Arabidopsis thaliana: one gene and its partner. The protein of the gene in region 2 interacts with the protein of the main gene of each other region in a pairwise test. Each region holds a gene or a part of one and is shown on either strand. Other genes may lie near its edges. The genes, in order: PGR5-LIKE A and petB.

What was found.
Region 1: the proteins of petB (region 2) and PGR5-LIKE A interact in a protein complementation assay, tested with the Arabidopsis thaliana proteins (one study listed by BioGRID).

The regions. Positions count from the first base shown.
Region 1 is NC_003075.7:12,005,338-12,010,355, forward strand, and holds PGR5-LIKE A (PGR5-LIKE A), read left to right. Parts: upstream 1-1,648; 5' UTR 1,649-1,819; coding exon 1,820-2,018; intron 2,019-2,444; coding exon 2,445-2,557; intron 2,558-2,655; coding exon 2,656-2,752; intron 2,753-2,844; coding exon 2,845-2,945; intron 2,946-3,040; coding exon 3,041-3,097; intron 3,098-3,181; coding exon 3,182-3,258; intron 3,259-3,351; coding exon 3,352-3,514; intron 3,515-3,593; coding exon 3,594-3,691; coding exon of another isoform or gene 3,692-3,695; exon of another isoform or gene 3,696-3,768; coding exon 3,769-3,838; 3' UTR 3,839-3,848; intron 3,849-3,920; 3' UTR 3,921-4,199; downstream 4,200-5,018. Other genes in the region: LDOX (leucoanthocyanidin dioxygenase), read right to left, coding at 1-141, 226-722; AT4G22900 (transmembrane protein, putative (DUF1191)), read left to right, coding at 4,884-5,018. UniProt on the Arabidopsis thaliana protein: Ferredoxin-plastoquinone reductase involved in cyclic electron flow (CEF) around photosystem I. The homodimer is probably not involved in CEF.
Region 2 is NC_000932.1:73,181-77,006, reverse strand, and holds petB (cytochrome b6), read right to left. Parts: upstream 2,167-3,826; coding exon 2,161-2,166; intron 1,357-2,160; coding exon 715-1,356; downstream 1-714. Other genes in the region: petD (cytochrome b6/f complex subunit IV), read right to left, coding at 519-526; psbH (photosystem II protein H), read right to left, coding at 2,301-2,522; psbN (photosystem II protein N), read left to right, coding at 2,627-2,758; psbT (photosystem II protein T), read right to left, coding at 2,824-2,925; psbB (photosystem II 47 kDa protein), read right to left, coding at 3,110-3,826. UniProt on the Arabidopsis thaliana protein: Component of the cytochrome b6-f complex, which mediates electron transfer between photosystem II (PSII) and photosystem I (PSI), cyclic electron flow around PSI, and state transitions.

The DNA of each region.
Region 1 (5,018 bases), on a different chromosome or scaffold from region 2:
TTCATTTGTAGAAGAAGCTCTTCTAAACCACCAACTTCTTTCTCTAGACGGTCAGGCTCTAAACCTAGACCGACAGAGAGAGCCTTGAAGACTTTAGTCGCTAGCAAACGAAGACACTTCGCGTACTCACTCGTTGCTTCTCTACAATCATCGAAAAACGTTAATAAAAGATTCTAAAACCAAAACAAGATTTTGTTTTCTTTAGTAAAACAATTCAAAGCTTACATGTAATCACTTGGTGTCTTAGGCCAAATTGATAGATCTCTCTTCTCTTCAGGATACGCAAGATGAAAGAAGTAATCTTCCCATTCCAATTGTCCACTCGCGTTGTTAGCCAATTTACTTCCATAGCCTTGAATCTTTCCAGTGGCTTGATCGTTTGCATACTTCTCCTTCTCTTCCACAGACAAACTGAAAAACTCTTCTCCGGCTTTCTTGACACGCTCCATTAGATCAGCTGGTATTCCATGGTTGATCAAATGCATCACTCCCCAATCCAAAGATGCCTTTTTCAGCTCCTCAATACAATTCTCACGGATCTTTTCATCGTCTGACTCGATGTTCTTTAGATCGATTGTGGGAACTTGAGGACCGTCTTCTTTCTTCTCTTCTAGGAAAACATCGTTGATGCTCTCGAGCTCTTCTTTTGGACGAATATATTCTTTTGGAATCGATATGATTCCGCTTTTTGCTAGACTCTCAACTCTTTCAACCGCAACCATCTTCTTTAGTCTTCTGTTTAAAGCTAAAACAGAGCAGAAAACAGAGTAAGAAGTAAATAAACTTAAAAACAGGGGAAAAAACAGAGTAATAAAAAAAATGGATTTGTTTTGTTTTTCTTCTTACACTCTTTTTTGTAATTGGTTGCAAGTAAATGAAATGTGCAAAGACTCTTTCTTATATAGCAAAGTTTTTACTATACTTTTAGTTAGAAGAGTTTGTTACCGAACTAAGAGACATTGTAGAGCTACCGGTGGTTAGTGCTATTGTTGTGAGGTAAGTGCGTGACTCACTTCACGGTCAACGGGAGAGGATGGTTGGGTTGACTGATTGGTCAAAAAGATTACTACTATATGGGCTTGGGTCTAGACTCCCAGAAAAGGCCCAATAGAATTAAACCCATAATCGCTATCAACGTGTTCTTCGTCGCGTGCTTTAAGCGTGTCTCCACGTGTTCACCTCTACTAGTTCTTCTACTAACCACATTTTCTTTTTGTAGTTTGGAAATCAATTACTAAAAAAACAATTTGACTGGTTTTCAATTTCAAATAGACAATTGTATGTGGATCAATAATTCTTTTGGAAAACTAAATTATTTATCTTGTTTGTTTTTTAAAATTTGGAACTCATTTTTATTTTAATGGTTTGTACTAAAGTATATTATCAGCTGAATTCAACTACACATACTACATGTCAAATTTTTTTAAAAAATCACCATGTTTCGAAAAAAAAATCTTCTTACTCATCTCACAGTATTTTTTTTATTGTATAATCAAAGCCTAAAATTATGTCTTTTCTCTATTTTAAGTTTTTGTTTTGTTTAAGAAAACCGGATATTTAATGCTGACGTGGATATTCTGATTATGAGGATGAGAGGAAGGAAAAAATAAGAGAAATCTGCCTAGGAATTTATCTCCACACTTCTCTTATCTCCTAATTTCTTCCCTCCAAATTTATAATAAAACCAAAAAAAAAAAAAAAAAAAAAAATCAGAAGAAACCTGAGAAGCTCACAGTAAACACATCTTCAACCACAGGTTCATACTTACTGAAAAAAACAGAGGAAAAAAAGGAGCTCCCTTTTCTATCTCTAAGGGAAAATGGGTAGCAAGATGTTGTTTAGTTTGACAAGTCCTCGACTTTTCTCCGCCGTTTCTCGCAAACCTTCCTCTTCTTTCTCTCCTTCTCCTCCGTCGCCGTCTTCGAGGACTCAATGGACTCAGCTCAGCCCTGGAAAATCGATTTCTTTGAGAAGAAGAGTCTTCTTGTTGCCTGCTAAAGCCACAACAGAGCAATCAGGTCTTGATTTGGCCACTTTAGTCTCGATTTCGAACACTCCGCCTTAGTTTTCTGTTTACAAAGCCATTTGGATTCGAATTTGTTCACAATTGGGTTTCCAAAGTTTGAGCCTTTTGAAATTTAGGATATATTATTTTAATTCAACGTCTCTAGCTCTGAAAATTTATGTTTTTAAGTCACTAACTTGTAGTATCCAGACTCGAATCCTGTTAAAGTTCAATTCTTTGAAGGGTTTGATTGATTCAATGGCTATAACTTTGGTATAGTATATTTGTTTGTATTGGACTTTGTTGACTATTTAGTGGTTAACTCTGTACTAAAGTTTTGCAATGTCAGAAGTTGTGTAACTATTAGGTTGCATAAGTAAGGTATCAACTTTAGATTTGCTATGAAGTTCTCAATTACAGTCTTTTTGTCTTCCTTAAGGTCCAGTAGGAGGAGACAACGTCGATAGCAATGTTTTGCCCTATTGTAGCATCAACAAGGCTGAGAAGAAAACAATTGGTGAAATGGAACAAGAGTTTCTCCAAGCGTTGCAAGTAAACGCTACAATAAACCATTTTTTTTATAGTTGCCAAAACATGATATATATCTAATCTTCAAGAGCCTGAGAATTGCTTTTGTCTTTTGATTACAGTCTTTCTATTATGATGGCAAAGCGATCATGTCTAATGAAGAGTTTGATAACCTTAAAGAAGAGTTAATGTGGGAAGGAAGCAGTGTTGTGATGCTAAGTAATCATCAACTATGGGACTAAATTTCATTTCTTTGTTTTGGTTTCTTTGGTGCAAAGTCCTAAATCTTTTATTGGTAATATGAAACACAGGTTCCGATGAACAAAGATTCTTGGAAGCTTCCATGGCTTATGTTTCTGGAAATCCAATCTTGAATGATGAAGAATATGATAAGCTCAAACTCAAACTAAAGGTTTCCATTCACTTTTTATGCTTCAGTGAAAATAGACATACCCTTATAAGATTGGTTTAAGCTTCAAGTTTATGATTCTTTCTGTATCCATGTAGATTGATGGTAGCGACATTGTGAGCGAGGGTCCAAGATGCAGTCTCCGTAGTAAAAAGGTAAATAGAACATAAGATTCATTGTTAATATTAGATTATAGATAGATACTAATTTTCAGTCTTTATGAACTTCCTCAAATGTAGGTGTATAGTGATCTCGCTGTAGATTATTTCAAAATGTTATTGTTGAATGTTCCAGCAACCGTTGTTGCTCTCGGACTGTGAGTCTCTATACCGAGTTTTCTATTCAAACATCCAAATCATATGAAACCCATATTTCGTCTTTGTTTATTCATTCAATTCTGTACTTGCAGCTTTTTCTTCCTGGACGACATTACAGGTTTTGAGATCACATACATCATGGAGCTTCCAGAACCATACAGTTTCATATTCACTTGGTTCGCTGCTGTGCCTGTGATTGTATATCTGGCTTTATCAATCACCAAATTGATCATCAAGGACTTCTTGATCTTGAAGGTAAGAACCATTACCATTACTCAAGATTGCAAAAGAAAAACATCAAAGAGCCTTTTTATGAATGTTTCTTGTTTCACAGGGTCCTTGTCCGAATTGTGGAACGGAAAACACCTCCTTCTTTGGAACAATTCTGTCAATCTCCAGCGGCGGCAAAACCAACACTGTCAAATGCACCAAGTAAGATTTTACCTTCGAATATGGTTTCAAAAGTGTAACATATTACTATCTGATTCTTTGATTATCTCTGTTTTTAGCTGCGGAACCGCGATGGTGTATGACTCGGGTTCTAGGTTGATCACATTGCCAGAAGGAAGCCAAGCTTAAACCCTGTGAGGTACACATCTCATTTATAGTAAATTCTTTAGATCACATGGAAGTCAGAGATAGTAAAATTTGCTTTTTCCAGCTAGATGAAGATGGGAAAAGAAGAATGGGTTTTGTCAGAAGCAAAATAGATTCGAAGTTAAATGTATATGTAAGATCTTCCATGTTAGCTCTCTCTCCTTCACATGTTTTCTGATTTGTAAGTATTGTGTGTAAGCAATAAGAGATATATAATATGAGCACTTCTTCATCTACCTTTGTAGATAAAAATATAATCATTACTATAGTTAAATCAAATTGTATACATGAAAGACCAAATTCGAATTTAAAATGTTTATTTCGATAACTTTACAATTTCAAATTAACTTTGGTACATTTCTAATACTATTATGATTTGTATCTAAAACGACCTTAAAAAATGATTTTAAGTCAAGAAAACGAAAAGCATACACGATTATATACATTTGCTTACCGAGGCAAGAAACTATGAGAAATGCATGGTGTTAATTTGGATGTAAATTTTATGAAATGGTGTGGAACATAAAGAGATTGATTGAGAAGAGAACTAAAGTCAAGAACATATATAATGAAAGGACAGACAAAGGTAACAACATTGCACAAAAGAGGATAAAGTCACACAAACATTAGCACGCCAATGTCTCTCTCTTTTTTAGTCTAAAAATTGATTACAATTTTTTTTTATGAATTTTAATTAACACAGAAAGTGTAATCATGATCATCATCTTCCCATGCCTCTATCATCATTGATCCAATTTTCTCCTCCACTACTGAACCTATTAATTGCTTTTACGTTGATTTAAAAATTTTAAAACCTCTACGTTAGAACGGTCATATGCTTATTTAACAATTAGATCATGTCTTCTATAAAGGTAAAAGAGAAATCTGACAAATGAAGTGTAAGTGTTTATAATGTTTGTGTCCCAAAACACACATCCCCCACAAAAGTAAAAACACCATCAAAACTTTCTTTCTTTCCTCTTATCTTCACTTCCTCTTGTAAACCCTAGATTCTCTTGTTCCTCTTATGGATTCATTCTCTTTTTGTATCATCATCATGATACTTCTCTTATCATTCCACCAATCTAAGTCTCAATTGATTCAATCTACACATCTTCTTGATCTCATGATCAGAGATTACACCATTAGAAACTTTAAGCTC
Region 2 (3,826 bases):
GGTAAATGCTCAACACCCACGTAAGCTTAAAAAGTTTATCATGATTAAGTGCTTTCTGGGTCGTCTCATACCTTATAAATTCGTCCTTAATCTCAACAATTATATCGAGATTTTTCAAATACAAAGGATTTACTTGTTACTAATGGAGTCTACCCTCTACTCTTCATTAGATCCTGTATTCACTCCGATAGTATCATAAATCGAGTCGATGCAGAGAAAATGAATGCATTTACATACTATTACTATTAATAATTATTTTCTTTTTTTTTTTTAGTCCAAAATAACTAAAAACATAATCAGGATTTTGTTCCATCCCTTAATCTACTGGATTTTACGGAGCCCACTCATCCACGACAGCGTCGGGTACGATCATAGAAAAGATTCTCTTCAAGTGAACCAGCCTATCCCCTGTATGGGGCTTACACAGTGGTTGGAACAAAGACACATTTGGTTGTGAATTCCAATGTAGCAGATAAAGTAATATTTCTGCACGGCCCGATCAATAGTTCAAGTCACACACTCCCATAATCCATTATCTCTTCATAGAATTCCCTTCAACTTTTTATGTCAAAAAAATAATAAAATATTGTGGAGTTGAAGGGAAATATCCAAATACATGTTTTATTTTTTTAATAATCCATATTTATAGCAATAAAATACTATCGTTCCTTCACCAAGTAATAAGTAAGTACAAATACCTAGAATCTATATTATTTATAAGGGACCAGAAATACCTTGCTTACGTATCATTAGGAAATGCATTAACATAAAGACGGCCGTAAGAAGAGGTAATACAAAAGTGTGTAAACTATAAAAACGAGTCAAAGTGGATTGTCCAACACTAGCACTTCCGCGTAATAATTCTACAAGAGGTGATCCTATTACCGGAATAGCGTCAGGTACACCTGTTACAATTTTGACCGCCCAATAACCAATTTGATCCCAAGGTAAAGAATAACCTGTTACACCAAAAGATGCGGTCAATACACCCAGAACCACACCAGTAACCCAAGTTAATTCGCGAGGTTTTTTAAAACCACCGGTGAGGTATACACGAAATACGTGCAGGATCATCATTAGGACCATCATACTTGCCGACCATCGATGAACTGATCGGATTAACCAACCAAAGTTAGCTTCAGTCATTATATATTGAACAGAAGCAAAAGCTTCAGTAACGGTTGGACGGTAATAAAAAGTCATAGCAAATCCCGTAGCTACTTGTACTAAAAAACAAGTAAGGGTAATTCCGCCTAGACAATAAAATATGTTGACATGCGGAGGAACATATTTACTAGTTATATCATCTGCAATCGCCTGAATCTCAAGACGTTCTTCGAACCAATCATAAACTTTATTGAGATAGGTAAACCAAGGTTACTCCCCCTCCAAGAACTGTATATGAGAATTTCATCTCGTACAGCTCAAACAAAAAAAGACCCAAATACTGATTGAAACAGATATGGAATATAAAGTTTTAAACTTGTCTCTCATTCAATATTATTTTTTATTATTTAAAGATATGAAAGAGTCAAAATGCGAAAGCTCGTCTTTGTGGTTAAATGCCAAAAAATCAAGTAAGCTCATTCGTCTTTATGTTGTGTTGATCGTTACAGGCCTCTTGAATCTTCTAGATTACCTATCTTTATTGTCTTTTTTTATTTGGTATTTGTATGGAACGGGGACAGGGATTTCTTCTTGTTTTCTTTATTATTGATAGGAATTCTCTTGTTAAGACCCTACTTAACTAATCAATTGAAACCTCAGATTCATACGAGAACCACGATAATTTAATGAAACCTTCAAAGTCCAAAGTTCACTGAGTGAGAACCATTGGATCATCACTTATTCAATAAAAAAAAAGCTATAATGACTAAAAACATAAAATACAAAGAAGCGTTTGTCCTTTGATCCAAATAAGAGTTTAAAAGCAGAAAATTTTTTTGATTTATTAAAGTTTATAAGATAGAACGGAAAGAAGTCCGGCTACGAGGTTTGAGTATTTAAGTATGAATCATAGTTCGAATACTTTGTGATCTATTTGATCTATTTCGTGCTCCAGATACTCGAATGAATATCCGACGAAGTAAAACCATCTTGATAAAGATGACAGACCCCATTCTCTGTACTATCCATAGGGTCAATTCTAACAAGTCACACACTCATATTCCGGAAATATACAATGCAGAAAAAAATTTCGCGGTCGAACTACCAAAGGAGAATAGGCTAAAATTGTTAGACCTGCATACTTTACTTTTTTGTATCGAGCTAAAAGCTAGAACTTCAAGATTCTTCTCAGTCTAATTCACTGAAATTCCATCCAGTAGAACAGAAGAATTATAAATCTCCAAAATAATAGATAGGAATACCGCAAATAGAGCCATTGCAACACCCATCAAAGGGGTCGTTCCCCATCCGGGAGCTACTTTACCATATTCGGAATTCAATGGTTTCAATAACTTCCCTACAGTAGTGCTTCTTGGACCAGATCTAGAACTATCTTCAACAGTTTGTGTAGCCATAAATCTTATTTTGTATTCATTACGATCTGTTGACTTTGTATACCATTCCGTTGTAAATAAATGATCTTAGCATAGATCCGGTGTGGTCTTTCAATTCTATAATAATGGAAACAGCAACCCTAGTCGCCATCTTTATATCTGGGTTACTTGTAAGTTTTACTGGGTATGCTCTATATACTGCCTTTGGGCAACCCTCTCAACAACTAAGAGATCCATTCGAGGAACACGGGGACTAGTTAACGTAATCAGCCTCCAAATATTTGGAGGCTGATTACGTTAATGAAGATAATGAAAAATTATTTCATTTTTTAGTTGAAATTTTAGGTGGTTCCCGAAAAAAAATAGCGAAAAAAATTATCCCTAAAGTGGATACTAAGAGAAATGTATAAACCAATGCTTCCATAAATTTGATCGTGGTTTACAATTATAGCTTTCATACCTGTTTTGTTTACGTTTTGTTTACTTGGGAGGATAAAGAAAGAAAAAGAGTCAAAGAAACGGCAGCGATTTAAATAAAGATTCCTACAGTACCCTACCTATTAAATAAAATAACAAACAGAAACTAGAAGAAAAAAAGCAATGTTGCATCAGACTGCTTGTCGTTTTGTAGTTGGATCTCCAAGTTTTTGGAATGCCCCGAATTCCACTTGAGCATCCAAATCTGGATCAATACCAGCAAAAACATCTCTGAAGAGGGTTCTAGCACCATGCCAAATGTGTCCAAAGAAGAAAAGTAGAGCAAACGAAGCATGTCCAAACGTAAACCAACCTCTTGGGCTGCTACGAAAAACACCATCAGATTTCAAAGTCGCACGATCTAATTCAAAAATCTCACCCAATTGAGCCCGTCTAGCATATTTTTTCACAGTTGCGGGATCACTATAACTCACTCCATTGAGTTCACCACCATAAAACTCAACAGTTACACCTACTTGTTCGACACTATATTTTGATTCTGCCCTTCTAAACGGGACGTCAGCTCTAACAATTCCGTCTCCGTCTACCAAAACTACCGGAAAAGTTTCAAAAAAAGTAGGCATGCGGCGTACAAAAAGTTCACGCCCTTCTTTATTTCTAAAGACGGGGTGGCCTAACCATCCAACAGCTATTCCATCCCCATTGTCCATTGAACCCGCTCGGAATAACCCCCCTTTTGCTGGATTATTACCAATATAATCATAAAAAGCTAATTTTTCAGGAATTTTCGCCCAAGCTTCTGATAAACTTTGATTTTCAGCCAGTCCAGCACTAACTCTTCGATATATTTCTTGTTGAAAGTATCCCTGATCCCATTGATAACGAGT